2 linked regions of the Tamandua tetradactyla genome follow. Each later gene encodes a partner of the first gene's protein in a complex. Links are inferred from orthologs where the notes say so. Each region holds a gene or a part of one and is shown on either strand. Other genes may lie near its edges.

Region 1 (15,035 bases):
CTCTTCGGTCCCAGGTTACGTGAGACACTATTATAAATTTTATATTTACGAATATTTCCTGTTGATTCTGTTTCTCTAGAGAACCCTAATTAATACAGGCTGCTTCTTCTCTTAGAGACCTGTCAATGTAGCCCCCCAACCCTGAGGTGTTACTTTATTGCTGTTTCCAAGGAGGCAAGATTCAGTATGTGACACTCCACAAGTGCTAAGCGCTGGTAGGCAAGTGGAACTGAAGAACTCTTTTTCCTCCCATACGCACCCTCACCCACCTGTACCGTGACCACTTCTTACCTCTTGTAGGGCCAACAGAGCCTGGCCTTGCCAGTTCAAGTCCACACCGCGAGAGAATATAGTACATATTTCTCTTACCTATGAAGGAGTGGGAATTTCCATTATTCCTGGCCCTTAATCTTAGGTCCTAACTCAGTAGCAGGTGATGACTCTTAGGACCTTAGCAGCTACCATATCTCTCATTGGTGGTGGGGAGGAAAATGAGAGGTAATCTCCCTGGGTAGGGAAAAGGATCAAAGGGTGAATGGATTAGAGGAATCCTATGTATATAATGAAAGAACCCTGTCTCAAAGGCCCTTGGAGAAGCTATCTTTCAAAGACAGAGTCCCCTCAAGCTAAAGAAGGGGTCCCAGAGCCATGTAAGAAGAGAAGGCTGGTTCCCCAAAGCCTGGGAAACATAAAGGACGGCAGCATGGGGGTTGGTGGGACGCTCCTCACCAGAAGGCTGAAGGGCCGCTTCCTTATCAACAGTTCTGTGCTCTTCTGAAGCTTCTGGATCTCCTTCAGAATCCGATGTCTCCGCACACCACGCGGACGGGAGGAAGTGCCTGAGCAAAGGAAAACGTTGTATCATAAAGGTAAAGTGCAGTGGAAAACAAGTGGTGCCTCACAACACAGCTGAGAGGGCAATTTCAACACTAGACAGTAATACATTCCACAACAGCAGGGATTTTTGTCTGTTTTATTCACTTCCATTATCTTCAGCACCTAGGCAATCGCAGATAGATGAATGAATGAACAAATGTCCTTTGAGGTTTAACTCATGTATCAATTCTTCCAGAAAGTCTTCCCTGAATCCTGATCTCTTCCAAAGTGATGGGTCACCTCCCTCCCTCAAGGCTCTGGGCCCCAAAAGTACCTTGTGCATTGCTTATATCTTACCCACTTACATTAGAAAAACACTTATTTTATTTTGTCTTTTCTTTTTTTTTAAGAGCTGTAATGTAATCCCCTTGACTTGGTTATTCATGGCCTACAGAGGTGAAGATAGTTGGCCAGGACTCTGGTGGCTAAGTTGGGACCTCACAAAGATGATAGCTCAGTGAGAGCCATGTGGGCTAGATGGCTCCAATCCCAGTTCCAACCAAAAGGAAAAAGTCTTAAAAACACTCCCAAAAGTAGTAATCATAAAAGCCAAATTCTCTGCTCAAACTATACTGAAACTAAAAATCACAAACCCAAGAATAGAAAAACCAAAATTCTCCTGAATTTCTCTTGGGTTAAAGAGGAATCCCATCTGAAATTAAGATAATTTAGAAATGAACAATAAAAAGGCTTCATCTTAAAAAGCACAGCTAAGAAGTAGTACTACAAGGAAAAGTATAGCCTTAAAATGTCTATTAGAAGATAAATGGAAACTCCTCAAAATTGAATATTTCAGTGCTACAAAGTACATTGTCAAAAGAGTGAAAAGGCAGCTGATTCAACGGGAGAAAATATTTGGAAGCCACATGTCTGTAAGGGTTTGATATCCAGAATATATAAAGAAATCCCACAACTCAACAATAAAAAGACAAACAACCCAATTAAAAAAACAGACAAAAGATATGAATAGACACGTTTCCCAAAGAAATACAGATGGCTAAAAAGCATGTGAAAAGATGCTCAGCTTCACTAGCTATTAGAGAAATACAAATGAAAACCACAATGAGATATCATCTCACACATACTAGAATGGCTACCATTAAACAAACAGGAAAGTACAAGTGTTGAGAGGATATGGAGAAACAAGAACACTCATTCACTGCTGATGGGAATGTAAAATGGTACAGCCACTATGGACGATAGTTTGGCAGTTCGTCAGGAAGCAAAAGAGTTGCCTTATGACCCAGCAATCTGCTATTTGAGATATACCCAGAAGATCTGAAAGCAGGGGCACAAACAGACATTTGCACACCGATGTTCAGAGCAGCATTATTCACAATTGCCAAAAGATGGAAACAATCCAAGTGTCCATCAACAGATGAATGGATAAACAAAATGTGGTAAATACATGTGATGGATATTATTCAGCAGTAAGAAGGAATGAAGTCCTGAAGCATGTAACAACATGGATGAACCTTGAGGATATTATAGTAAGTGAAATAAGTCCGACACAAAAGGACAAATATTTTATGATCATATTTTGAGATCATATTTTATGATCTCACTGATATGAACTAATTATAATATGTAAACTCGTATATTTAAAATATAGAATCTAACCTAAAATATAGGTTACCAGGATATAGAATAATTATAATATGTAAACTCATATATTTAAAATATAGAATCTAACCTAAAATATAGGTTACCAGGATATAGAATAAAGCTAAAGAATGGGGAGCAGGGTGGGCCACGGTGGCTCAGCAGGTAAGAATGCTTGCCTGCCATGCCTGAGGACCCGGGTCCGATTCCCGGTGCCTGCCCATGTAAAAAAAAAAGTAAAAAAAAAAAGAATGGGGAACAGTTGCTTGATATGTGTAGAATGTTTAACTAAGTTGAACTTCAAATGTTCGGAAAGGATAGAGGTGACAGTAGCACATTATTGTGAGAATAATCAACAGTACTGAATGGTGTGTGAATGTGATGGAAAGGGGAAGTTTAGAGTTATGTATGTCACCAGAAGGAAAGTTGGAAGTTAAAACATGGAAATGTATAACACAGTGTATCTTGTGGTGGACAATGTCTGTGATTAACTGTACAAATATAAAAAAGTTCTTTCATCAACTAGAACAAATGTACAACACTACTACAAGGAGTTAATAATAGAGGGGTATATGGGAAAAGCATTACAAACTATGGACTATAGTTAACAGTAATACTTTAATATTCTTTCATCAACAGTAATAAATGTACCATACCAATATTTTATGGGTCAATAATATGGGCAGGGGGGAAGGGGTTTGGGAGGATTTGGGTTTTTTTATTTTTATTTTTCTGGAGCAATGAAAAAGTTTTGAATTTGATCATGGGGATGTATGCACAACTATGTGATGATACTGTGAGCCAGCAATTGTATACTTTGGATGGTTTGAATGGTATGTGAATATATCTCAATAAAATTGCACTTAAAAAAGTCTATTATAAAACATAAATATTAAAAGATATATGAGGTAAGCATTCAAGTGTTACAAAGAGAATACTAAAACAAATGGTAGAGCAAAGAAATATTAAAGATAATATATTAATGAAAAAGGGTAAAACAAAATCCTATAGTTGCTCAATAAATAAAACCAAGGACCCATAAAATGGACAAACCTTTAAGTTAAAGAATAAAAAAAAAGAAAAAAACATACAGAAACTAACACTGCGGAGGATAAAATGAACTTCAGAAATGTTATTTGAAGTCCAGCAAAGAAAAGAGAACCCATGCTGAGCAGTTCAATAGAAGGGACTTAATTAATAATAGAAGGAGCAAATGGGGGGAGGTGAGGCAATCCTGGGAGGATTTGTGCCCAGCAGCTGCCAGTGGAGACTTTATCCCTGGGTGGGAAGAGGAAATATAAGCCAAAGACACAGGGCAGTGTCCAGGATATGCCTGGTGACATTTAGGAGAAAGGAAAAAACCCATACCTAGGAGATACACTACTCACTCACTTGCTCCACTTCTCCCCTCCTCCCACACCCCCCCCATCACTAGAGGTCGCCTTTAGTAAAAAGAACAGTTGCAGAAAATGTAAAGATGAACACAACTAAAAACCAAACAATTAAAGAAAGCTCACACCATGAAAGAAAGGAAGTAAACTCAAGAAAGAAAATAAGCAAACCAGAAGAATGTGTTAAATAGAGTAAAGTGATAGACTTTGAGAGTAAATGAAACATCAGAGGGTAAGAGAAGATATGAAATCCATATGAAGCCAAGGGAACAGAATGTTTTAAGCAGAAAGTAGCCCATCGTGTTAAATGCTTGAGACATAGCAACGTGTCTATGGATTTGTCAACAAGGGAGTTGTTGGTGACCTTGACAAGAACCGTTTAAGTGGAGTAGAAGTGTAGAAGCAGTGTTTGGGGGGGGGGGGGAGTCAGAATGGTTGAAGGGTGACCAGGAAGTGAAGAAAGAAACAATGGGGATAGACTCAATGAGTTTTAATGAGCTATTAAAAAAAGGGTAGCTATGAAGCAAAGTAGAGAGAAATGAGGAATATGTGGGATCAAGGAAGCACTCCCGTCCTTTGCTTAATATCAGAAACATCAGAGCACATTTGTAGATTGACAGTATAAGGAGTTTGAATTTAATTCTGAGTGTAGGTGGAGCGGATTAACAGAAGGCCCTTGAGAAGGTGAAAGGAGGAAATGACAAAAGCCAAGGAGTAGCTTTTGAAATGAAAGGGGACATGTAGATTCTGTTATGAGAAGATGAGGAGAATTCAGTCTGAAGTCTTCTATTTTCCCAATGGAACATGAAACAAGGTCATCATGAGCTAAGAGTGTGAGGTGCAATGAACAATCCAAAAGGATATATAAAAAACAATCCCAGTTACAATATCATCTAAAAGAATAAAATATTTAGGAATAAATGTAACTAAGGATGTAAAAGATTCATACAGCGGGAACTAAAAAACAATGCTCAAAGAAATTAAAGACCTAAATAAATGGAAAGACATCCCAGGTTCAAGGATCGGAAGGCTTAATTTCACTAAGAAGTCAATATCATCAAAAATGTTTACAGATTCAATGCAATCCCAGAAATTCCAGAAGCCTTTTTTTTTTTTTTTTTTTTTTTGCAGAAATGGAAACATCAATCTTTAAATTCCTAAGGAAGGATAAGGGGTACCAAAAAGCCACAACCACCTTGAAAAAAGAAGAACAAAGTTGGAAGACTCACACGTCCTGATTTCAAAATGTATTGCAAAGCTATAGTGATCAAAATAGTGCGGTACTGGCGTAAAGACAGATATATGACCTAATGGAATAGAATCGAAAGTGTGGAAATAAAACCACAATCTATGGCCTACTGATTTTCAACAAAGGTGCCAAGTCCATTCAATTGGGAAAGAAGAAGGTCTTCAACAAATGGTGCTGGGCTGCCATGCCAGAGACCCAGGTTCGATTCCCAGTGCCTGCCCATGCAAACAAAACAAATGGTGCTGGGTAAACTGTTTATTCACGTGCAAAAGAATGAAAGTAGACCCCTACCTCACACCATATTTTAAAATTAGAACAAAACAGACCAACCTAAATGTAAGAGATAAATACACAAAACTCCCAGAAGAAAATATAGGGAAAAGTCTTCAGGACCTTGTATTAAGAAATGAATACTTCCATAGGACTCTAAAAGCATGACAAACAAGAAAAAACAGATAACTTAGATGAAAAACTTTTGTGCAAAGGACATTAACAAGAAAGTGAAGACAAGCTACAGAAAGAGGAAAAAATTGGAAATCATTTAACTAAGAAAAGTTTAATATCCAGGATACACAGAGAACTCCTACAACTCAACAACATAAAGAAAAACAACTTAATTTAAAAAATGGGCAAAGTGCCACCTCCCCTATGTGGGACATGACTCCCAGGGGGTATGTCTCCCTGGCAATATGGGACGGGACTCTGGGGATGAGATGGACCTGGCATCATGGGATTGAGAAAGCATTCTTGAGCAAAGGGGGAAGAGAAAAATGAGACAAAATAAAGTTTCAGTGGCTGAGAGATTTCAGAGTAAAGAGGTTATCCTGGAGATTATACTTACGCATTATATAGATATCCCTTTGTAATTTATGGTGTATTGGAGGGGCTGGAGGGAAGTACCTGAAACTGTTGAACTGTATTCCAGTAGCCCTGATTCTTAAGATGATTGTGGAACTATATAGCTTTTAAAGTATGCCTGTGTGATTGTAAAAACCCTGTGTCTGATGCTCCTGATATCCAGGGTATGAACAGATAAGTAAAAAACTAAGGACAAAAAATAAATAAATAATGGGGCCAGGTATAAAAGGTAAAAAAGTGGGTAGATTGAAATACTAGTGGTCAATGAGAGGGAGGAGTAAGGGGTATGGGATGTGTGAGTGTTTTCTTTTTATTTCTTTTTCTAGAGTGATGCAAATGTTCTAAAAAATGGTCTTGACGATGAATACACAACTATGTGATGATACTGTGTGCCACTGATTGTATACTTTGGATGGATTGTATGTGTGTTAAGATTTCTAAAAAAAAAAAAATGGGCAAAGAACTTGAATGGACATTTCTCCAAAGACATGCAAATGAAAGCTAAGCACCTAAAAAGATGTTAATCACCATTAGCCATTAGTGAAATGCAAATTAAAACCACAATGACATACTACTTCACACTTGCTAGGATGGATACTATTTTTTTTTTTTCAATAGCAAATGCAAGCATTGGTTGAGGATGTCAGGATGCTGAGAAACAGGAACCCTTGCACACTGGTGAGTATATAGCGGGGCGGCTGCTGTGGAAAACAGTTTGGCGGTTCTTTAGAAAGTTAAACAGCAAATCACCAAATGACCAGGCAATTCTTACTTGAATATACCCCAAATAACTGAAAACAGGGATTTGAATAGATATGTGTATGACAATGTTCATAGCAGTACTGCTCCCAATAACCAAAAGATGGAAGCAACCCTTGTGTTCATCAGATAAACAAAATGAGGTGTATACATAAAATGGGATATTATTCAGCTATAAAAAGGAATGAAGCAGAGAAGGTAGTGTTAAATAAATACTATGATAGCTGAATCATTATATTAACATTTCTTTTAGCCTCCAGTACTTTAGAGCAGCTAGAAGTAAAACCCTAAAATTGTGGAACTGTAATCCATACCAAACTCTGAAATCTGTCCTACAACTAATTGTTGCGATGTATTCTGAAATTTGTTGCTTTTATGTATATACGTCAAAGAAAAGGAGTATAACAGAGAACATAGGATTTAACAAATGAGTATGAGTGCTGAATCATTATGCTGATATTTCTGTTGGTCACCAGTGTTTTTGAGCAGCTGGAAGGAAAAACGAAAAATCGTGGAACTGTAACCCATATCAAACTTTAAAATCTGTTGCTTTTTTGTATATATATTTCACAATTAAAAAAAGTTAAAAAATATTTTAAACAATTACACACAAAAAAAGGAATGAAGTTCTGATACATGTCACAACATGGAGGAACCATGAAAATGTCACGTTGAGTGAAATAAACCAGATTTCGCTTACGTAAGATACCCAGAATAAGCAAATTCATACAGACGAACACATTTTTAAAAATCCTCAGTCTGCCGAACTAGCCGTGTTCGAGCTTCCTGGCCTGGGTGAGCCTCAGTTTATTTACTCTGTAAAACGGGGACACTATAAAGAGCTTAACTCCAGGCCTCGTTAGTGGCAGGCACTCAATAAAAAGTAGGAACAAGAGGAACTGTGGTCAGGGACCTAGTTTCCCAGGCCAGTCCCCGGCGCTTCCCAAGGCCCTCGCGGGCTTGGCTCCTGGCTGAGCCCCAAAGGATGCCGGGAGCCGGGGAAGGACGCTGGGTCCGCGTGGGGAGGGTCCGGTCGGTCTCCGCTCGACCCAGAGAGACGCGTCCCGTCCCGGTTACCTGAGGGGGTGGCCCGCCGCGGGGTGCCGGGGGTCGCACTCTCCCGGCGCCTCCGGGGGGTTTCCGGCTTGCGGCTCCGGCGGCGCGGGCCCATGGCGGAGGGGCCCCGGCGCCCGCCCCCGCGCCAGGCGTCCGGGCCCCCGCTCGCTCTCGGACTTCTGGGGCGAAGGGAGAGTTTCTGGGGGAGGCCCGGAGAGCAGCCCGGCCGCGCGCCCTGGAAGAACCCGCAGTGAAGGAAAGGTAGCGCAGTGGTCGCGTTCCAACAGCCAGCACCGCGCGCGTCGTTTAAAACTCACAGCCGGCGGCTCCTATTGGCTACCTCGGGAATGCCCACGGCGCAGAGCGACTGCGGAGAGGACCAATGAGAGCCTAGGCGGACGGGGCGGGCCGACGGTGCAACCCGCCAGTGGGCACTCGAAGAAGTGAGAAGAGGCGGGGGTTGTGCTACCCTCAGCTCGTTGGTGGCTGTGCTGCGATGCACGCTTGTAAAACCGGAAGCGCGATTCTCAAGATGTAGGTGATACGTTCGTAGCAGTGTTTCTCTGTATATAAATCAAACATTTATGTTTTGCCCTATCACTCTCGCGAGGTGGCATTTAAAGATGAAACAGACCTATTAAGAGAACGTAACAGCCCCATGTCGCGCCTGTGACCCTCCCGGTACATCCCACAAGTATGTGTGAACTTGACTGATCCTTGGGGCCGCGGGGACCGCCAGGTTATCGGGCGCCTGTGCTGTGAAGGCCAGGCAGGGCAGGCCTCGCCCCAGGGCTTGGATCTCACTTTCCACGTTGCAGTAGGATAGTCCCAAGGAAGTGATCCCATCCTGGCCTGGTGGGGATAATACGAATTTAGTTCATATGTCTGGGTAGTTAAAGGGGATTTTAAGTTTCTACACTTTGTGTTCTTGGATTTTCTGAATGTTCTATAGTGAACGTGTAACATTTCAGAAGGGTTAGTTAAGAAATCAGTAATTTCAATTTAGCCCTTTTGCAGATCTGTGAGAAAGGTCCTAGGCATGATCTTTTTGGGGGTGCGGGGAGTGGGGGATGGGGGATTATGGTCCCTGAATAGAACCTGGGTCTCCCATGGAAGGCGAGCATTCGACCACCGAACCATGGGCATGGTCTTCTGAAGTCAAGGAAGTCAAGCCAGATTGGATGCTCCAGTCAGCTTTGCCCATAGGTGTGAGGACAAATAAGTGACCTTTCCCATGCCTCAGTTTGCTCATCTAGCAAATGGAGGTAATATGAGTCATCGAAAAGATAAATTGCATGAGAAAAATAATAAAAGCACTCAGCCAAAGGGCTGAGGTCCTGCTGCCAACCTCTGGTACAGGTTTGAATCATGATGGAAGGAAGAAGGAAGGGCAGTCGTTTGGTAACACTATTGTTAAGACAACTATGATGGATAAGACTCTCCTTGGAAACTCCTTGGTGGAGGGAGTTGGGTTGAGGGTATTTGGAGTCTTCCTCAAGAATGTGGAGTGGAATCATAGGGAATGGGTGAGATGTGAAAAGGTGGTGATGAGGGAAAGAGAAATGTGGTGTCAAGCAGAGGTCACAGCCTGAGAAGAGGTGAAATACGACAAGTGATTTGGAGAACAGAGGTTGTCATGTGTGAGTGGATGTTGGTGATGGGGAATTATTGACCTCCTCCTCAGAAGATGACATAGAATGGAGAGTGAAGCTAGAGCTTGTGTGATTTTACAAAGGTGACAGCACTTTGTTGAGCTACAGGCTATATGCATATATATATATATATGTATATATATATTTTTTATACGCGGGCAGGCACCGGGAATTGAACCCGGGTCCTCTGGCATGGCAGGCAAGCATTCTTGCCTGCTGAGCCACCGTGGCCTGCCCTGTATTTTTTTTTTTAAGTGAGGTTGTTAAACTGTAATATTCCTTAATTCCATGACTTCACAATTCTCTAACAGAAGGAGTGGGAAAGGACATTAGGGATGTCAACCAAGAAATAGCAAACTAAGCTGCAAGATAACAAAAGGGTGTATTTGGGGTCTGTGTTGGTTTTGAAAGGATATATGTACCCTAGAAAAGCCATGTTTTAATCCTCATCCCATTTTGTAAAGGCAGCCATAGGTCATCTCCCTGGAGATGTGACTCAATCAAGAGTGGTTCTTAAGCTGGATTAGGTGGAGACATGTCTCCACCCATTCTAGGTGAGTCTTGATTACTTTACTGGAATCCTCTAAAAGAGGAAACATTTTGGAGAAAGCAGGAGGTTTGGAGAGAGCAGAGAGAACGACATAGCCACAAGAAGCAGAGAGTCCACCAGCCACCCGCCTTTGGAAATGAAGAAAGAAAACGCCTCCCGGGGAGCTTCTTGAAAGGAAGCCAGGAGAGAAAGCTAGCAGATGACGCGGTGTTCGCCACGTGCCCTTCCAGCTGAGAGAGAAACCCTGAACTTCATCAGCATTCTTGAATCAAGGAATCTTTCCCTGGATGCCTTAGATTGGACATTTCTAGAGACTTGCTTTAATTGGACATTTCCACAGCCTAAAAACTGTTAACTTGCAACTTATTAAATTCCCCCTTTTAAAAGCTATTCCATTTCTGTTTTATTGCCTTCCAGCAGCTAGCAAACTAGAACAGGGTCTTAGAATTCCAATTCAGGGAGCCCAGATTCAGGTAGCAACTCGAATTATGTTTCCTCTTGGTGCTTCCAGGCAAGGATTTTAAAGAAAAAGGAGATTACATAAATTGTTTGTGTTTGTGGATATTTGGGATGCTCCAGATGTCCCTCAGGTTAGATAGTTTACTGAGTTCTTTATCTTATGGTTTCTTTCTGGTGTCTGGATGTCCTTGGGGTTTTGAGGAACAGTATTACCTGAGGCTGTGCATACCTTGCCAATTTGTGATACCTGGTAGAGAGGTACATAAGAATAACTTCCAGAATGAACTCCCAACTCCATTTTAAATCTCTTAGCCATAATAACTTTATTTCGTTTTATTTCTTTTTTACAGGGGAAAATATAGAAAAGTCAGAAATTTAATTCTGACCTTTCTGATTCGGGTACAAGCTGTCCACTGACTGTGTGGGGTAAAATATTTCTCATTAGCCTAACCTAGCTCTGAACCCATTCCCCCCTCCTACCTCTCCCAATAGGAAGACAGATCACTGTAGAGAAGGACTAGGGACTGGTAATGTACTCATAAATCATAAGAGCCATCACACACAGCTGGTTGAAGTCTTTTGGCTAAGGGAAGTGGATTTTCACTGGCCATGTAAAAAGTTCTATCTAGAGCTGAACTGTCCAGTATGGTAGTCACAGGACACAGATGGATATTGAGCACTCAAAATGTGGTTAGTCTGAATTGAGATGTCTTGTAAAGTGTGAATACACACTGAGTTTGGAAGACACTGCAAAAAATATATAAAATACCATTTTTTATATTGCTTAAATGGTTAAATAAAAAGCTGTTGGAAATATTGGGTTAAATAAAATATGTTATTAAAATTAGTTTTATCTGTATCTCTTTACTTTTGTAATGTGGCTCATAGAAAATTTACAATCACAGAAGTGGTTCACATTATATTTCTCTTGGACAGCACTGAAATAGAAGGGATAACTTTTATCTGCACACTGAATTCAGTTTTTCATTATTCATTTAACAGACACCTGTTGAGCATCTTTTATGTGCTAGCTACTGCTATAAGGGTTGGAGCTAATTCAGCAAATGGGACATAAGCCCCCATAGTCCTACGTTCTGGTGGGAAGGAGAAAGACCACAATAAACAATGAATTAATAATGATCCTATTACAGACTGTGGTAAGTGCTAGTATGGAAATAAACATGGTGATTTAATAGGGTCACTTGGGGTGGGAGGTGGCAGCCTACTCTAGAGAGTTGGTCAGGACAAGCCTCTATGAAGGCCAGATTTAAACTGAAGCAGGAAGTACCAAAAAGAAGAGCTAGGAGAGCGGGAAGCTGTTCCAGGCAGAGGGAACCGAGTGCAAAGATTCTGAGGAAGGAGAGAGCTTGGCATATTCCGGGAAACTGAAAGGAATCCAGAGAGGGGAGAGTGGAAGTTTCGAATAGGGTTAGGACGCTGAGTTTTATTCTAAGTGCACTGAAAAACCACAAGGTGACTTTGGACACGGGAGCGACATGATTTCATTTACATGAGGGAAAAGGTTGTAGAGTTGACCCAGATTACTTCCGCTTTGAAGATCCTTGGGGGGAGTCAGCCAACAGGAAAGCTGCAGCTAGGATTATAAATGGAATCACGTTCAGATCTGACATATCCCTTGAAAACTCACACTATTCCAGGACTCATGCTGGGTGTTAGAAAGCTCTGGAAGGGCAAGGCTAGTTCTTGTCTCTTCAGCTTTCCCAGCATCCACCCTGTGTCTCATCCCTGTTAAATGCTCATCAACTATTAGAGTAGATGAAAGATGAAGTGAATTGCGGATCATCTCATTATGAGGCCAGTCCCCATTCTGGATTAGATTATTTTCTTACTTTGTCTTTGTGTGCAAGTATTAGTCTTTGGCAGGGATTCTTACCACAACCTGCCTGTTTTCCTGGGTCCAGACATCCAAGGGGAGGGAAAACACAAGGAGAAAAAAAGAGAGAAAGAAAGAGAAATATGGTTAGTTTAGGATTTTGTACCAATCAGTGAACAAGTTTTCTCAAGAGATTTTGTTAGAAATCCAAGATTTCATCGACTAAAAGGTACTTTAGTGCCACTTCTCCCATTAAGTTGAAAGGGCCTTGCTCTATCCAAGGATAAATATATGCATAGTTATCTATAAATAGAATACACACTGTGCTGGTTTGAATGTCCCCTAGAAAAGCCATGTTTTAATCAAAATCCCATTCCCTATTCAATACTGTATGTTTGAAACTGTAATCAGATCATCTCCCTGGATGATGTGATTTAGTCAAGAGTGGTTGTTAAACTGGATTAAGTGACGACATATCTCCACCCCTTTGGGTGGGTCTTGATAAGTTTCTGGAGTCCTATAAAAGAGGAAACATTTTGGAGAATGAAAGCGATTCAGAGAGAGCCAGAGAAGAATGACGAGAAGAGAAGCCGGAGAATGACATAGCCACAAGAGCCCACAAGCCAGCGACCTTTGGAGATGAAGAAGGAAAACACCTCCTGGGGAGCTTCATGAAACAGGAAGCCAGGAGAGAAAGCTAGCAGACAATGCCTTGCTCACTATGTGCCCTTCCAGCCAAGAGAGGAACCCTGACCGTGTTCACCATGCCCCTTTCCAGATGAGAGAGAAACTCTGTTTGCCATATGCCCTTCCACTTGAGAGAGAAACCCTAAACTTCACTGGCCTTCTTGAACCAAGGTATCTTTCCCTGGATGCCTTAGATTGGACATTTCTATAGACTTATTTTAATTGGGACATTTTCTTGGCCTTAGAACTGTAAACTAACAACTTATTAAATTCCCCTTATAAAAGCCATTTCTGGTATGCTGCATTCTGGCAGCTAGCAAACTAGAACACACACATTTTCTTTTAGGACAATATTTATATTAGAAATAAATATGAATGTATTCATACATGCTTATGCACCAGTGGATTTTGAATCAATTAGTTTTACTATCACTGATATTTTGTATTTTATTTTCCCAGTTTTCATATTGGTGCTCAATATTTGGGAAACCAGGGCCTTATAAAGAGTACAATTTTATGAAGTTAGAGACACAGATGCTTGCCAAGGAGACTGCTTAGAAGGATCAGATGCAAATTTTGTGTTCTTTTTTGTATGTGATGGGACAGTGAGGTTTACCACTTTGAGTTCCATTTCTGGGTTTACATCCCAGGTCTTGAGAGGAGGGTTTGTGTTGTGTCTGGTAAATCTTGGTCTCCCTAGTGCTCACGACAGGGCTTGGCACATAGAAGGCCCTCCATCAATGTGTTCAGTGGGCATGTGGACAAACTGGCAGTTTTCTTGGCTCTGGGTTCAAATGTAGCACTGGAGTCCCCATCTAAATCGTAGTGGCTCTGTAATTAAGGACTCAGAGCAATGAAAGCATGAGTGGGAGTCTGTTTGTGGATGTATTTAAGGCCAATTGATGATAATTATAATTTCAATATGTGAAATTAATTATTCCTAAAAATTAAAATTCACAGTAGTCTCTGCACAATAGGGCATGATATACAGAGGAAGAAATGAGAGGCAACTTAGGATCAAATGGATCAATTCTAGCTTCTCACTTCCGTGACTATTAGAGATACCATGTGGCAACCCCTGGCCCAGATATGAAGTAGAACTTAAAATTCCAGCCAATTTATTATTTATCAGATTCTAGTAAATATGATCTTCTTCTTGGGGGCAGTGGCTGGCATCCAGCTTAGCACCTAGCTACCTTCCCAGGAGAATGTGTGTGTGACCATTACAGAGCCGGCCGGCCTCATAATGGTCCTGCTTGTGTACTTGACTAAACAGAACTGTCAGACGCTCCAGCATAGCTGTGCACTGGGCTTTCACTGCACGTGGGTCAGGACAATGCCACGTGCTCCGTGAGGGCTCAACCAACAGGCCTTTCTAACCAAGGAATACAGGGGGCAGGGTAGACAAGAGTAGGGCGGAAGCCACTGGAAGAACAATTAATGGAGGAGCCAGGGCCTTTCTCCCTGGGTGGCCCAATCCACAGGGAGAGCCTCTCCCTCCTACCCTCCTGGGGGGGGCAAAGAGGATTAGGCCAAGAACTAGAGACTGCATAGGAGACAGGAAATATGGAAGGTTCTCACAGAGTCCTGTGAGGAAGATGGTCCATCCAGCCAGGAAGATCATTCCAGGGGCAGGCCTGAAGAGGAGACACATGGTTCCTTATTTATTCACAAATATTGATCTCTTAAGCCAGCCCCCCTCAAGACTGTGATGGAAAGCCCCAGCCCTGCAGCCAGGTCCTCACTGTCTTCCCTCCCACCAGGGATATTGAAGGAAGTCATGAAGTGACTGAGATCTAGCCTTAAGAGAAGGAGAATAGGTGAGAAAAGAGTGGACGAGTGGAGAAATCAAAGAACTATTCTACATACATTTTTGTCAGAACTATTCTATATACATTCTATATACAGTTATCCCTAGTTAACTCTCTAGGGATGAAATTGGGATATACTATGAAGTTTGAATGATGTAAGGGGATAAGAAAAGGGAGCTCAGGGCCACTAGGGTGTGGGATGGAGTCAGAATTTTGGGGGCACGTGGGATAAAAAGGTGGGTATTAAATAG
Region 2 (15,035 bases), about 200 Mb from region 1:
TCTGATCCTTTTAATTGCCAGAATGAAAATACTTCAAAATTTATGTAAGTTCATTAAATCAGGCTTGAATTGGGGTAATGACAGCAGCCAAGGGCTATGGAGTGTCTCAGCACCATATGGGTCTGTAAAAGGGGTATGGGGACAAAGATTTGAAGGGTGGTAGAGCTAAAAGTGAGTCTCAAGAGCACTACGAGGAGGGTGCAAGCTGTGAGTGAGTTGAGGATGGGCCTTTGAATCCCCAAGCCCTGCCTCTAGCCAGCCAGTAAGAAGGCAGTTCTTACCCTTACAGCCCCAGCCCCTGGATCTTCCAGGTCTAAAGTTGCATCGACCTCACTGCTTTGCAGATCTAGAAGCAAAAAAGGAAATTCCAATTGGAATTTTGAAGAATACTTGTATTTGTCTTTCATGAATACCTTTTAGATCAACTGAGTATGCTGACAATACAAATCCCCCTTGCTTCCAACACGCTACCCTTTAATAAGGGCACAAACCATTCATCACTGTTAGGGAGTATTAGTAGGCCAGAGAACATTTAAGAGCAGGAATATGTTAGGAGATGTAAATAAAAACAGATTTTATGTCACCTATAGCTCTTTCAATGATCTCTCATCCTTGAAATTGAGACACACTAGCCTAGCATTGCCCAACAGAACTTTCTGTGACAATGGAAAGTTCTCTATCTGTTGTTCAATATGGTAGCCAACAGCCAAATGTGGCTTCTGAACATGAGAAATATGGCTAATGTGACTCAGGAACTGAAGTTCACATTTAATTTTCAATTAATTTAGCAGCTTCATGTGTAGCTCTAGAGTAAGTATTTCCAATTATTTCAAGCATTCTGGGAAATTCTGGGAACTAATCGTTTATGGAGTTAAAATCTAGATAAATACCAGTGAACAAACATCTGTGAGTAAACATCTTCACTAAGGTTTTCTTTGTAATTCTACTTTGAAAGATTGTCAGTTTTCCCTTTACTGACTTGACAAATATTATGGGTAAGATGCCAGAGAAGGGACTCTGAAGAAGCAGACAGAAGCCAAAGAAAGTCTAGTGTCAAGCAGCAGACTGGTGTTTAAAGACAAACTACAAAACGACTATTTAACTGCTACAATGAGAACCCAGAGAACTGGATAACAGTGAAGGTCAATTCAGATCAGGTCAGGAGAGGTTTCCTGGAGCAGTGCAGAGACAGCAGGTAGCCACCCGGGCTTGCTGGCCATGTTTTGGGCTCCGGCCTTCTATCCTAAGAGCAACGGGAAATCACACTGTGTGATCAGACGCACATATTTAAGGGTGCTCTGGGAGTGGTGGGTGAAATGGGGTTGGGGAAACCCAGATGGAGACAGGAGGGTGGCCATGTAGGTCAGGTTACACTTCAGAGTATTTACAAGGCCAAAATGACAGACCGTGACGTCTTTTGGAGGAGGAATGGAGGAGGTGCCGAGACCACGAGAACTGTGGATTTCTGGCTTACAATGCAGACAGGCCCTCTACTGCAGGAGGAAACAAAATCAAGAGCAGGTCTTGTTTAGATATATTAGGTGCATCCAGCAAAGCCTGCGGAGCAGTGAACACACAGAGGCCTGGGTTGAGGGAAGAGTTTTACCAGAGGAATGGAGAGGAAGGAGAACTCCAAGAGCAAACTGGGCCCGAGGTGAAGAGTTTCAAGAGTTTCAAAAGCTAGTGAGTGGGCAAGTGGGCAACAAAGGAATAACACAAGAAAGCCAGCTGGGTTCAGTAACTTGGTCCCAGGGACTTCACCAAAGGCTGCACATGGGAGACAGGGCTAAGGCAAGATCTAACTAGCTGAGGAGCACACAAGGAAGAAAACTGGAGACAGTAAATACTGAGTGATTTTTAGGAAATTTGGTTGCAGGGAGGGGGGTGAATAAAGGCACACAGCTACAAAGGGCTCTGGGAAAGGAGTTCTTAAATCATGTTTTATACATTCAGGAACAGACTGGAAATGTTTAGACGCTGATGGTGTGTGGCCAGGGTAGAGGGAAAGGGTGAAGATAGGAGAGGGGGGGATGGCTGGATTCCTGAGAACAATGGATTTGAAGGGGTCTGCAACCAAACTGGCTTGAGGGAAGGGAAAGGTGCCCTCCAGGAGAACAAGGGGAAAAAACGGGAGAATGGCAGCAGCTACAGGCTTTCTGTAAAAGTTGGCATTCATGACACCACTCATGAAGGGCACTTAAATTTATTAATTACTTGATACTTTTTTTTTGTTACCAAAATTAAAAGGGATGGGGGTTTTTATTCAAGAAATATCTGAGTATCGTTTACACATGAAGCACCATAGATGCAACTGTGAGCAGGACATGGTTCTCTATCCTCCAGGGATAGAGAAAGTTTTTAAAGTATACTTCAGAAAAAAAATAAAGAGTGATAATAATGCTATGATGCTGTAACAGAGACCTGTGTGCAAGTCTTACACACAGGTAAGTAAAGTAAAAGTAAAGTGATGCCCCCTGTGACCTCATTTTATAGCAAGCTTCACACACAACTGCATGCATGCATGCGTGTACTCACACTCTCTCTCCCTCCGTCCCTCCCTCCCAGGATCCATACACTGTGTGAGGGATGCACACTGACCTTTGCCTGTGGCTTGCACTGGGCCATGCATCCTGTCAACTGGCTCCACAACGAATTCCTCAAAATGCAGAAATGAAGACATGCTTGTTTTCAGTAAGAACACTGAAAACTTTACAAAGCCACTATAAAGTAATATGCCTACAATTGTTTCATTAACATATGAGAACAGACGTTTCACAAGGCTTCTCTTCTCATATGTTCTATTCTAAGAGGCCTCAACAAAAATTCTATCAGGTAGTTGAGCTTCACTTGGACAAAAGACAGCTTTCTTAATGAGTGAGCGAGCAGGGCAAGTGAGAAGCAAAGGCTCAGATGTCAGAACCTCTGCACTCAAGGCAAGCCTAATGCTGCAAAGTGTGTGGTTTGGCAAGAACTGTGGCAAACAAAAAGCCAAAATGAAATGGAAGAAAATTGTCACTAGATCATCAGAAATAATGCAAGGCTCCCTGTCCTCCTGAGACACTGATCTTAGTACAGTGCAACATTCATTATGGTGTCATGAAACCTACTATTCTCTTCCCGTGGGAGGTGTTGGACCCCAGCTGCCCCTTGGGGATGGGTTGTCTTGCTGAGCAGCTCACAGGGCAGGGTGGCCATCTGGCCACACCCTTGTGGAGGCCATGCTTCTGCTAAACCAGAAGCCTCACAGGTCATCTTAATGAACATCACCAATGGGTTCTCAGATTGGCTTCGAGATTTTAGAAATTATTCTATCCTTGCAATTAAATAGGAGAGTGAGAACATGTTGTGGCCTGCTCCAGAGATAGACTGAGGCTTCATCCATCAGGATCCCTTGCTTGGGTCTGGCCCGGGTGATTTCTGGCCACCCCAAGAGCACTAGCTGGAAGCTGACTTCTGTCTCTGGAACAATGCCACCTTCACCTCGAGTTTAACTCACATAAAGTAGGGCTGGATCACCTATGACAACAGACAGGTGGGGTTTCATGAGTTTACAGAACAGGGCGTCAACACCTTCTGGCTGTCAGGGCCTGAATGTGTGGCAGAATTGGGCTTTACAATTACAACGAAGCAGCCAATCCTCTGTGTCATACACAGAGAACCCAAGAACTGTTCGACCAAATTGGCTTAGGGTATTCCCAGCCTGCCACATTCTTTTTGCCTCTTACAGCCTCAAAGGCAGCAAGCAACAGGGGCAGTATTGGGATTTATTTAGGAAAAGGTTAAGGCAGATATGGGTGGTCAGCAATGGTAATTTCAGTGAGGCTGTAGATATCCAAATTGTAATTCAAGTCTATGCCCAGATTTCTAATATCAAGAAAGGGTCTTGAAAATTTTTAGACCTCAGGCAGGGGTCTACCAACACTTAATAAAACTCTTAAACAAATCTCAAGATAAAAACATTTTTCCATCAGGACCATCCAAATATGGCTTGGTTCGTAGGCATCGTATTATGTGTCATATTTAAAGAGAACAAAACCTTTGACATAATAATCCCATTTCCTGATATTAACTGGAAAGGGGTGATATTGCTACTGGGAAGTGACAAGGACCAGGGTGTTTCTATGAAGACTATTTATGACAAGGGCTTTGTAAATAAAGTTTTATTGAATGCAGCCATACCCATTCACTTACTCATTATCTGTGGCTGCTTTCCCTGCAAGGGTAGAGTTTGAGTAGTTGTGACAGAGATTATAGAGCTAAAATATTTACTATCTGGCCCTTTACATAAAAAGTTTGCCAACCCTTGATTTATAATAACGGAAGGTGGCAAATACTTACATGCCTAACAGGAAAGCAGTTAAGGAAAATGGTGGTTGAATTATACAGCAGATGAAGGGTGCACGATATATTAAGTAGAAAATTGGTAACAAAATGTATGTATGTATAAATATGTACATTAGAAACAGAATCATATCACACTAAAATATCACTAGTGATTACATCTGTGTGATAGAAGTCAGGCTAACTATAATTACTGTATTTCTAAAATTTCTATGACTGACTGTATTATGTGTGCTTTTAAAACAATTAAGAAGAAAATTTGGTTTCGGATATGTCATAAATTGCTCTGTAACCTTAGTCTTGATGTTTGTATTCTTGGGTCTAGGTCCCTGACCTGTGGAAGGGTGAGTATGTGGTGCTTGAGAAGCAGTGATTCAGAGAGCACCACACATCCTGGCAAAGTTACTATCCCCTCAAAGACTCCCCAGTCTCACAGCAGGACTATACACTACATCAGCACATTTCATTAAAATAGGAGATCACATCTGCAATGTGCTTGGATGAATTAGGGTAAGAAAACAAAGAGGTCTTCTGAAAGGTGGAGAGATGTAGAAAGAAAAAAAGTATGATCCTATACACTGAACCTTTTCCCTGTAATCTGTCTTTTTTTCCCTTTCAGTACCTCTGAAAGGAATTTTTCTTCCCTAGAAGGAACTGGATTTGGTCTTTTCTGTGAAGACCCAACAAAGTAAAACCTGAAAAGTGGAATGGTGAGATGGTTATCCAGTGGGAACTCCCAGCCTTTCCAAGTATAACCCAATCAATTCAGCTGTGAGGGAGCCCTTCTACCTAGGACAGAGGAAACAGAAGTTACCAAAAGGGCTCTACCGGTTTGAAAGGATTATGTACCCTAGAAAAGCCTTGTTTGTATCCTGATCCATTATGTGGAATCAGCTGTTTCTTTTAATCCCCGTTCAGCACAGTAGGTTGGAACTTGATTAGATTATCTCCACAGAGATGCGGCTTGCCCAATTAGGGGTATTAACCTTTGATTAGAGGGAGCTGTGACTCTACCAACTCCAGGTTGGTCTTGATTAGTTTCCTGGAATCCTTTAAAAGAGGAAGCATTTCTTAGAAAAAGCTAGAGAACCACAAGACCCACTGAGCCATGAGAGAGGAGAGCCAAGAGAACCACAAGGCCCACCTTTGGAGATGAAGGAAAACACCCCCCGGGGGGAGCTTCAAGAAACAAGAAACTTGGAGAGAAAGCTAGCAGACATCACCATGTTCACCATGTGCCTTTCCAGTTGAGAGAGAAACTCTGAACTTCATTGGCCTTTCCTGAGTGAAGGTAACCTCATGTTGCTGCCTTAATTTGGACATTTTCACAGCTTAGAACTGTAAACTCGCAAATTAATAAATTTCCCTTCTTGAAAGCTTCTGTTTCTGGTATATTGCATTCCAGCAGTTTGCAAACTAGAACAGGCTTTATAACCATTTCACAGGCAACAGAAGAAAAGCTTCTCAGCAAATCCCTGAAACAGGGCTTTTTTTGGGGGGGGGTGGGGGGGTGTTACATGGATTGGAAAGCGAACCCAACAGGAGAGCTTTAAGGTGAGAATACCATGAAGCCGACTGGAGGTGGCAGTGAACTGCTGGTCTTTGCACAGCAGGAGACTCAGCCCACCCATCCCCAGACACATCCTGCTCCTTCACAGCAGGGCATTTTGGCAATAAAATTTGACATTAAATACCTGGATTTGTGCTGTGCTCATTTCCTTTATGAGTCCTCCACCCCAAATTCTCAATCCTTAAGAAAAGAAATAGAAATTACCATTTTAGTCATCTGAAGACAGAGTTTCTACTAAACCTGCATTCAAAGAAACCCAGGCCAAGCAAAGGCCAGACTTCTGATATAGTCCATTAAACCTTTGATGTTAAGGCTTTTTTTAAAAATCAAGATTAGGCAAACATTTGTCATTACAGAAAACTTCTCCTACCTCATAGACAGCAACTCATCAAATTACATCATCGAGCCATCAAATTAAATGGAATCAAGGAACATACACAAGCCAGGTACTGCCCTCAAATACATATATATCGAGGACAATCTTTATAGTAGGTAGAAAGGGGTGAAGGACTTCATCTTGCCTTAAAACTACATTTTCTACTAGGCAAAGGCAAACTAAGAAAGGATCATGGCACTGAGCGGCTTGAGGTGGCTGTCAGTGATAATACCACAGCTGTGGTTGTATGGTGCTTTCTAGGTGGCAGGACCTGTTCTAGCACTTTCCAGGCAGATCCTGTTCAGTATTCATGTCAAGCTGGTGACAGATACAATTCAATACCTCTAAGGCCCTGTATGATAGGGACTTATCATGCTCATGCTATAGATGGAGACCCAGAGGCAGGGAAAAGCATACCTGGCCCAAAGTCACCTGCTATGTGGTAGAATCAAGAGATGAATATGGGCAGTAAGACTCTGTGCTCCTGACCGCTGCTCTGGCATCTGGCCTTTCCAGAACAGTAATGCCTGAGCACACGGGCTCTGACTCAAATTGAGGCTTTGCCACTTTGGCTAAGTGATACGGGACAAGTTATTTAACCTTTCTCTTTCTGCTGTATCTTTCCCTGTTAAGTGGTGATGATTCTAAGACTACCTCGTAGAGTTGTTGACAATACAAAATAGGAAACTCTTAGGGGTGTCAAGCAAAATGGTAAATTGTCACTACACAGGAACGATGATTATCTCCCTGCTATCCTCAATGTAATTGATGGGGTTCAATCTAGACCCTATGGTGTTGTCTTAACCAGGAATTCACACTACAAGGTGGTCAGGAGAAAGGCCCCTTCCCTGACTGAATGCCTCTCCGCATGAGGTCAGGGGACCCCAGGAGCTTGTGAAGTCTCTTGGGTTCTCCACTGGATCAGCAGTGAGGCCCAGGAATCTGTTTTAGCAAGCAATCTGACTTTCCATGCTGAAGTGGGAGAAGCACCGCTCTCAAGGTGTTCAGGTGCTTCAACTGTTCAAACTGGAGTCTGAAATGAGCTTTCACTGGTGAAATCAGTGGTCCTCAAGACCTGCGGAGTACAGATGGGTTGGATTCCTAAGCCACGTTAAGTCCTGAAACCCAAAGGGGTCAGCCTCTCCAAGAATATCAACTAGTTCCATCGCCCTATCCCACATTATCAACGGCTCTTTCCAACACGAAAAAGCTAGAATGGGCATAGCCCAAATGCCCCTAAAGATCGGGAGAAAAATCAAAGGAGAAGGAGGAGTTATAATAGGGAAGAGAAGATTTAACAAATAAATATGACTACTGAAACATTATATTGATACTTCTTTTAGTCTTCAGTGTCTTAGAGCAGGCAGAAAAAGAAACCTAAAATTGTGGAACTGTAACCCATACAAACTCTGAAAACTGTTCTATAAGTAATCGTTGTAGTGTGCTTTGAAATTTACTGCTTTTTTTGTATATATGTTATATTTCACAATAAAAAAACAAACAAACCAACAAAAAAACTGTGGAGAGGCCAAACCATTCTAGACACTGGCCTCCTGGCCAGAACATAGCCCAGCCTGTTGTCTGCACTCTTAGGAGCGGCACTGCACAACCGATTCCTATGCTACTGTGTCCCGCCTCTGGGTTGGATTTCCCATGGCCTGATGCAGACAGGAGAGGGGAAAAAACCTGTCTCCACCTCTTGTTAGGTTCATGTATTATGGGATCAGCCTAAATGACACAGAGCTAAGACCTTATTTAACAAACAGGAGCAATGAACTGGTTTTTGCTTGCTTGTTTAAGCCAGGCAGAATTTGATCTAGATCTGCTTTCATTATAATTAGTAGCGATTCTGATGTAAGGCGGTATGGGAGGAACTTAGCTCAGCCACCGTGAACTTTCTCCAGCTATTTACCGAGAAGAATCCATGACTAGCAGGTGATCCGACTGGTTTAGGCTAGTTTGCAACACTAACCATTTAATGGAAAGGCTTTCTCTACATTCAGATTAATTCTCAAGTAGACCCTCAAGGACTCTAGGTAACACTCCAAGTCAAACAGGGCAAATAACATTCGACTGACAATTTACTATTACCAGGTACTGTTCTAAGAGAGTCACAAACACTGTAAATCACACTTACACCACCACACCGGGTTGAAATTACTGTCATCATTCTCCCCATCTTACAGACAAAGACAATGAGACAGAGGCAGACCAAGCAACGGGGCCGAGCTGGCATGCCTAGGATGCCAGCCCAGGCAGGGTCATTCTGAACCAAGATGCATCTACTCGTCTTCAGAAACTGTTGGAAATACCTCATTTACGAGTTTGTTTTCCTAAGAGGGCACGGAGGGCATTTCAGACTGTATGAAAGCACCACTCAAAGGGGGGACCTCGTACCCTGGGGCGTCTCGTAGGTCAGCGTGGCCATCTGCACCAGCGGGGCGTCCTCGAAGGGCCGGTTGTACTACGGGGGAGGAAAGGGCGTCGCGTCAAGATCCGGTGGTCGCGAGGAGTCCCTGACTCCGGCCGAGGAGGAGTCAGCTCAAAGCCGGAAGTCTGGGGTCCCCATTCCCGACCCCCTCCGACAACCGCGACACTCAGCGCCGACTCTCGCCCAGCTCCCACCTCGCGGGACCCACCCCTCCCCGCGGCCCGCCGCACCTTCTCTAGCAGCTGCTGCATGCGCCTCTGGAAGCGGCGGCGGCTGTCCCGGAGCTTCCCCACGAGCATGGCCTCCTCTTGAGCCTCGTCCTCCATGGCGCCCGCCGGTATCACCTCGATTCCAACGCCTACCCGACCGAGCGCCCCCCTCTCAGCCCTCAGCTCAAAGAAGCCGCTACGCACCCCCACCGGCCGCCCTTCGGGCTTTCTATTGGCTGGCGTTGTGTTGCGGGGAGCTGATTGGTTCTTTCAAACCTGTTTACGTCCCTGTTTCCCAGCCAATCTGCGCTCGGGTCTCCGGGTCCCGCCGTCCCCGAGGCGCGCGTTGGATGACGGGAGAATCCCGGGTCGCTCTTCCGGTCGCTTCCGGGCCGTTTAACGGTTAGTTCCGCGCGAGAATCCTGTGAAATCCGGTCCTTTCAAACGTTGGACATGTGAGAAAATTGCAGCTTGGACATGTCAGGCGGCTGGTTTGACCGTGGCCCCTCGTCCTCCGTCACCCCAGACCCCCGCCCTGGGCGGGCTTCCTCCTGCCCCCGCCTCGGGCCTGGCGCGGCTGGAGGTGGGAGGGGTCTAAGAAAAGCTAGATAGACTAAGTTACGAATTTGAAAGGAGGCAGGAAGTGAATAGTCACTTAGAGTCAGAAAAGAAACCCCAACACATTGCACGTTTACAAATGCCAAATGCCACGGACACGATAGAGTCCGGAAAAGAGTATCTTCATTAAGAATTTCCTGAACACCCATTTATTTTATTTTTATTTTTAAACTGCATTTACTACTGCTTCTTCATGCGAGATTGCTCAGGTAACAAAATCTCTAGACAATAGATAATTCAGTGTTTCCTCCAGTATGGTTACTGGAAATTTATTTTTTATCACTGACATTTTAGGAAAGTTTTATTCAGCGTAATAGCTCATTGGAAATGTCGGGTAGATTTTTAGGCCTGTTCTCAAGGATGGGAAAGACTCAATTTTCTTTCATATGTGTGGTATAAGATTTTTGTAGAATTTCAGATTAACTTCTGCAGTGTTTTATCTCAAACAGTATTTGAGTTGTTGACTTTGAAGAGCTGCCCTAGTAGAAGGCACGCTCTTCCTGGAAGCCTTTTCTGCACAGTCTTAGTAGCCAAGAACTATAGTAACCACATGCAAAATGACTTTTTAAAATGTAAACATATCCTACAAAACCCAGTATATTCCCACCTCTGTATTCTTTTCTGGCTGGCAAAACTGCTGTCAGCTACTCCACCTAGTGGGAGGGAGGTGTGACAAAGAGGAATAAGGGAGGGCAAGGGGAGAGAAACTGGTCCCAACTGTGGCTAAAATACCCTTTTGCAAATTTTATGGTAGTTAAGGATTGTGTGTCCCCAGTCTCTGTAGGGGCTGTGCAGGAAGGAACCACTTTCACTAGCTCCATGATAAATCGGCTCTGCCCTGCCTCTGATCTCCCTTCTCTAGTGTGTCCTCTGCTGCCAGAATCATCTTTTTCATTCTTTCTTTTTAAAATGGAAATGTCCTGGTGGTTCTTTTCTGATAATACATGTCCAATGTAAAGAAATTAAAAACAGGAAGTAAAAATCCATAATCCCCCCTCTAGTCTCATGCCTGAGACATCACTTTGTTAAGATTGGTTCAACATTTTACTATGCTTATATAAACACATTTTGACATATAGAATATGTACATGTATGTCAATAGACATATATGTAGATGTATAGATATATATAAATGCAAGTGTCTGTGTTCTTATGTAAATTGTCTTTTACTTATATACCATTAGTGTATTTCAAATGACAATACATATAGGTCTAAATCATCTATGTTATTTCACTGTTTGGTGGTACCATGGTTTACTTAACTGATCCTTTTTAATGGCCATTCAGAATGTACCCATTTTCACTATAATAAGGCAGTGAAGATGACCCCAGCCTTATAACTTAAATCCTTAAATCCTCCTGTGTGGATGTTCACCTGGTAATTGATCCCAGGTACCTGGCCCAGAGACTGTCCTCTTTCAAGTTGCCCATGCATTGAGGACCTCTTGTCTGCTGACCCTCTGCTTCTGGGCTCTTGCCCTGCCCTCTGGCTGCTCCATTGGGGGCTGGGAGAAGGGGAACCTCAGTCACTAAGGTTGTGGGAGCTTGTTTGTTGGCTACAAATGAGCTCCTGGGACTATTAGGTTATCTGTACTACTGGACTGAGGAGCCCAATAGCAGGAGTGAGAATCGGCTTGAATAGAACTGTACTTCTCTTCCTCTGATCAAGATGAGACAGTAAACAGCATAAAACACAAATTCACTACAAAAGAAGGATAAGAAGAGAAGTAGAGGAGGGGAGGCTGATGAGGAATATGCTTTGGAAGCCTAATAATTCTAGGAAACGAGGTATTTTTAGAAGAAACAGAATGCCAGAGCTCAAAGCAGAGCTAATGTGATAACAGAATGGTGTGAGTGAATTGCAAGACCTGAGGAAAGAAAGGGGTTGGAAGAATAGAAATGAAAGGCACATCAGGTACAGAAGATTATTACAGCTGAAAAACAGATACAGGAGTGTTAATGAGAGGGTTGAGAAAATCACAAGAGAATCACAATGGAAAAGAGCAAAGTTAAAAAGTGAAAAGAGAAAAAAGAGGATGTATTTGGAAGCTAAGTGTTCCGGTTTGCTAAAGCTACTGGAATGCAATATACCAGAAATGGATTGGCTTTTACAAAGAGGCTTTATTACATTACAGATTTCTACTTCTAAGGTCATGAAGTGTCTGAATTTAAGGCATCAACAAGATGATACCTGAACTCTGAAGAAAGGCCGCTGGCCTCTGAAACACCTCTGTCAGCTGGGAAGGCATGTGACTGGAACCTGCTGGTCCTTGCTCCTAGTTCGTTGCTTTCAGCTTTTGATTCCAGTGGCTTTCTGCGTCCTGCGGGTCTTTTCTTAGCGTCTCCAGGTCGTTTTTCTAAGTGTCCATGGGGGTCCTCTCTTAGCTTGTCTGGAGCAATCTTTAGATTTCATCTCTTAGATTCTCTCAGCTCTCTCCAGGTTCTGGGTCCTTCAGGTTCTGTGGGTTCTTGCTTAGCATCACCTAGAACGTTCTGTCTCAGCTTTCTCCACAATGTCTCTCTCTTAAAGAACTCCAGTAAGTGGATTGAGACCCACCTTGAATGGGTGGGATCACATCTCTACGGAAATAACCTAGTCAAAGGGTCCCACCCAACAATAGTTCTGCCCCCACAAGATTGGATTAGAAGGCCATGATTTTTCTGGGGTACATAGTTTCAAACTAGCACAGTTGCTGAAAAAAAAAAAGAAAAATAGATATTTAAAAAATTATAGAAGAGAATTTGTCTGAAATAGAAGAAGACTTTAATCTGGGCATCTAAAAGGTTTACCGTACCAGGAAAATCAGTAGAGAACAAATCAAGACCAAGATATAGCTTGATGAAGCAGATCAACCTTAAGGATTACATTTTTCTTTTTTTAACCATAAGGATCCAGGTAGAGAAAGCACAGCGCCTATATGAAAAAAGTCAGCTAGTTTTTTTGTCAAGAACCCAAGGATGTCAGTGGATGGATATTAATGGAGATGTGAGAGAAATAGGATGTGATACAGGAATTTTTATCCATACAGAACATCACTCGAGTAAAAGCAATAGGAAAAAATTCCTAAATATATAAAGACTCAGGAATTAAAGCACTTAGAAACCTTTCTTGAAAAATTTACTTGTAGACATAATCCATAAAATTGGATCAAAATTAAGAGCTCAAAAATGGTGGTACAAAAAGATTATCAGGTAAAATTGAATGTAGTTAAACATAGAATTGAGTGTTAATAACTGTTATTACCTTGTTGAGCAGAATAACGTTGCTGCAATTCTTGAAAGAAATGCTACAAAGTTTTAAAAAATCGATTGGCAATAAACAACAGTTAAACTGTTGGTAGAAGAGTAAAGAAGGTGTTTCTGATTTCTTCATGGGGGGAGCTAAGTTACAAGTTTGGTTTTTTAAATTGGTCATTAAAAAATAAAAGTAGGTTGTTGTATAATAATGTAGAGGAAATAACTAGAACTGGAAACTGAAACTGAGGTCTTTGCATCCTCTCCTAGGGAGAAGGTAGAAGATTTGTGGGGTTGTTTATTTTAATTTTTGGACGGTCTGCTGTATCCCTTTCACAGTTAATACCTTACTAACATTCATCTTACTCCATGTTTGTGTAAACCCATGGTTGCTTAAAGCTGAACCTTTTCTGATAACAGCTGAGCAATACAAGTGACTGCTTAAGACTACGTCTGTTCAAAGATTAAATAATATCCTCAGCAAAGGGGAATTACCAGTTTACCTTCTTGGCATGGGAGAAGATATATGACACAGTTTTCTTAGTTATATTAGCTTATGTAGTGGTGCCAGGATATGGGAGCTCCAGATAGGTTTGATCTCCCTGTGGGAGCCTCCTGGAAGAATCTTGTGGGAAACTCATGGACAGCTTCAAGGGTGAGGTTTCTCAAGATCATCATAATCCCCCATTAGAGTCTCAGACAATTAGAAAGCAATGAGACTAACTTTGGGGATAGTGAGAAGGCACTGACAAGTCCTGTGTAGGTCAGAAACACTTGTTTCTGTCATTCTAACCTCTATCTGAATTAAGTGCCTTCGTGGAAATGACGCAGTCCTCTGTAGCTAGGCTTACAAGAGTCAAAGAGCCCTTAGTAATTATTTTCTAACATGGGGGGGATTGGGATGGTGTGGGGGACACAAATATCTGGGGATGTTTTAGTCAGAATTATCTAGGTCATGCTGCAATAACAAACATTCAAAAAATTTTGGCTTAAAAGAATGAGGGTTTATTTCTTGTTCATGTAAAATCCACTGGAAGTCCAGATGACTCTTCAGGGTGTCTTTTCTCCTCTCTTGGCTTCTGTGATCTTCTGGCCCCTCCATATCATCCCAAGCTTCCACAGTCAGTGTAGCAAAGAAAGAGCATGTAGAGTCATCCTCTGACACTCAGAGGCTTCCATAGGGACAAGGCATCTATCGCTCCTGCTCCCATTGCATTGACCAGAACAAGGTAATTGGATGTGCTAAACTTCAAGAGGTCAGGGAAGCATAATCCTCTATGTCTCCAGAAGTGGAGAAGAACTAGGTAGCATTCAACCAGTTATTAGTAATATTTACCACTTGGAAAAAAGCAAACAGATTGACAGAAGTGGTCTCCTTTCTTCAGAGCACAGCAAAGGGGGCAGAGGGCTACTAGTACTCAAGTACCAGACTGGAGTAGAGAGCTGTAGAGAGCACATAAAGATAAAGGGCACAACTGATGCAAGGTGCCCCTTGTCCTTGCTATGCCTCTGTCTTTTAACATCTGTTCTGAGTTTAGCAAGTCAGACTTCCATCAGCCTTATTTGTGTGCTTATCATGGTTATGTGGTTAAAAAAATAAAAGCATAACTTTGAGAACCAGAAGTGACATAGTTGGAGCTCTTCACCCCCTCTTAGCCTGCACCTCAACTCTATCATACAGAAATCTTGGGAAAACGTGGGGTGAGAGGAAAATCAGTGTCTACAAAATGTATTGAGAGGGACGAAGAGATGGACTGCCCCAGATAACCCCATAAGATTCCTCAGCTGCTGGAGACACTGTCAGCAGACACCTTCAGCTGCAGCCTCTTCAGAGATGGCTTCAGCTACACAGACGTTCATTCCATTGGCCTACATCTAATGAGCAGTCAAGGTGGGAACATAAAACTGGGACATTTAGATATGATGGGGATTACCCTGAAGGGTCATTGTAGCTCCAGAGCTCTCTGTGGAATTGGCCCATGCAGTTGCTTGGCCTGCATCTGTCCAGTCCTGTTTCTGTCCCGTCCCTTCCACAGGGGTTAATCCAAAGGGTACCCCCTCATAAGCATTCTGCACATAAAACTCTATGTCTAAGAATTTCCTCCCTAGAGAATCCAACCCATATTAAGGACCTGCTGTATGCAGCCACTGAATCTATACGTTCAGTTTATAGCATTTCCAATTTTTATACACAAGCTGAGGTTTCTTCCTCCTTTCTCTTTGGGATGGTTCAGAAATTTAACGTGTTTCCTTCCA

The links.
Region 2: the proteins of CENPA (region 1) and HJURP are in contact, whole or in part, in a crystal structure (PDB 3R45), measured with the Homo sapiens proteins. The link is inferred for Tamandua tetradactyla from reciprocal best matches to the Homo sapiens genes CENPA and HJURP. Residues at the interface, in NP_001800.1 of Homo sapiens: Lys64, Leu65, Ser68, Arg69, Arg72, Asp83, Phe84, Asn85, Trp86, Gln87, Ala88, Gln89, Leu91, Leu92, Ala93, Glu96, Ala97, Ala100, Phe101, His104, Glu107, Asp108, Leu111, Leu112, Leu114, His115, Ile132, Glu136; in NP_060880.3 of Homo sapiens: Glu14, Asp15, Leu18, Lys21, Leu22, Ser25, Arg26, Arg28, Phe29, Arg32, Met33, Leu36, Lys39, Tyr40, Pro43, Phe44, Thr47, Pro48, Val49, Val50, Gln51, Met52, Ala53, Thr54, Leu55, Ile65, Trp66, Gly67.

The regions. Positions count from the first base shown.
Region 1 is NC_135329.1:10,540,684-10,555,718, reverse strand, and holds the start of CENPA (histone H3-like centromeric protein A), read right to left. Parts: upstream 7,907-15,035; coding exon 7,813-7,906; intron 840-7,812; coding exon 730-839; intron 370-729; coding exon 292-369; intron 1-291. UniProt on the Homo sapiens protein: Histone H3-like nucleosomal protein that is specifically found in centromeric nucleosomes. Replaces conventional H3 in the nucleosome core of centromeric chromatin that serves as an assembly site for the inner kinetochore.
Region 2 is NC_135329.1:210,908,022-210,923,056, forward strand, and holds the start of HJURP (Holliday junction recognition protein), read right to left. Parts: upstream 9,168-15,035; 5' UTR 9,045-9,167; coding exon 8,949-9,044; exon of another isoform or gene 8,800-8,948; intron 8,752-8,799; coding exon 8,685-8,751; intron 6,092-8,684; coding exon 6,036-6,091; intron 2,657-6,035; coding exon 2,599-2,656; intron 347-2,598; coding exon 282-346; intron 1-281. Other genes in the region: TRPM8 (transient receptor potential cation channel subfamily M member 8), read left to right, coding at 9,278-9,329. UniProt on the Homo sapiens protein: Centromeric protein that plays a central role in the incorporation and maintenance of histone H3-like variant CENPA at centromeres.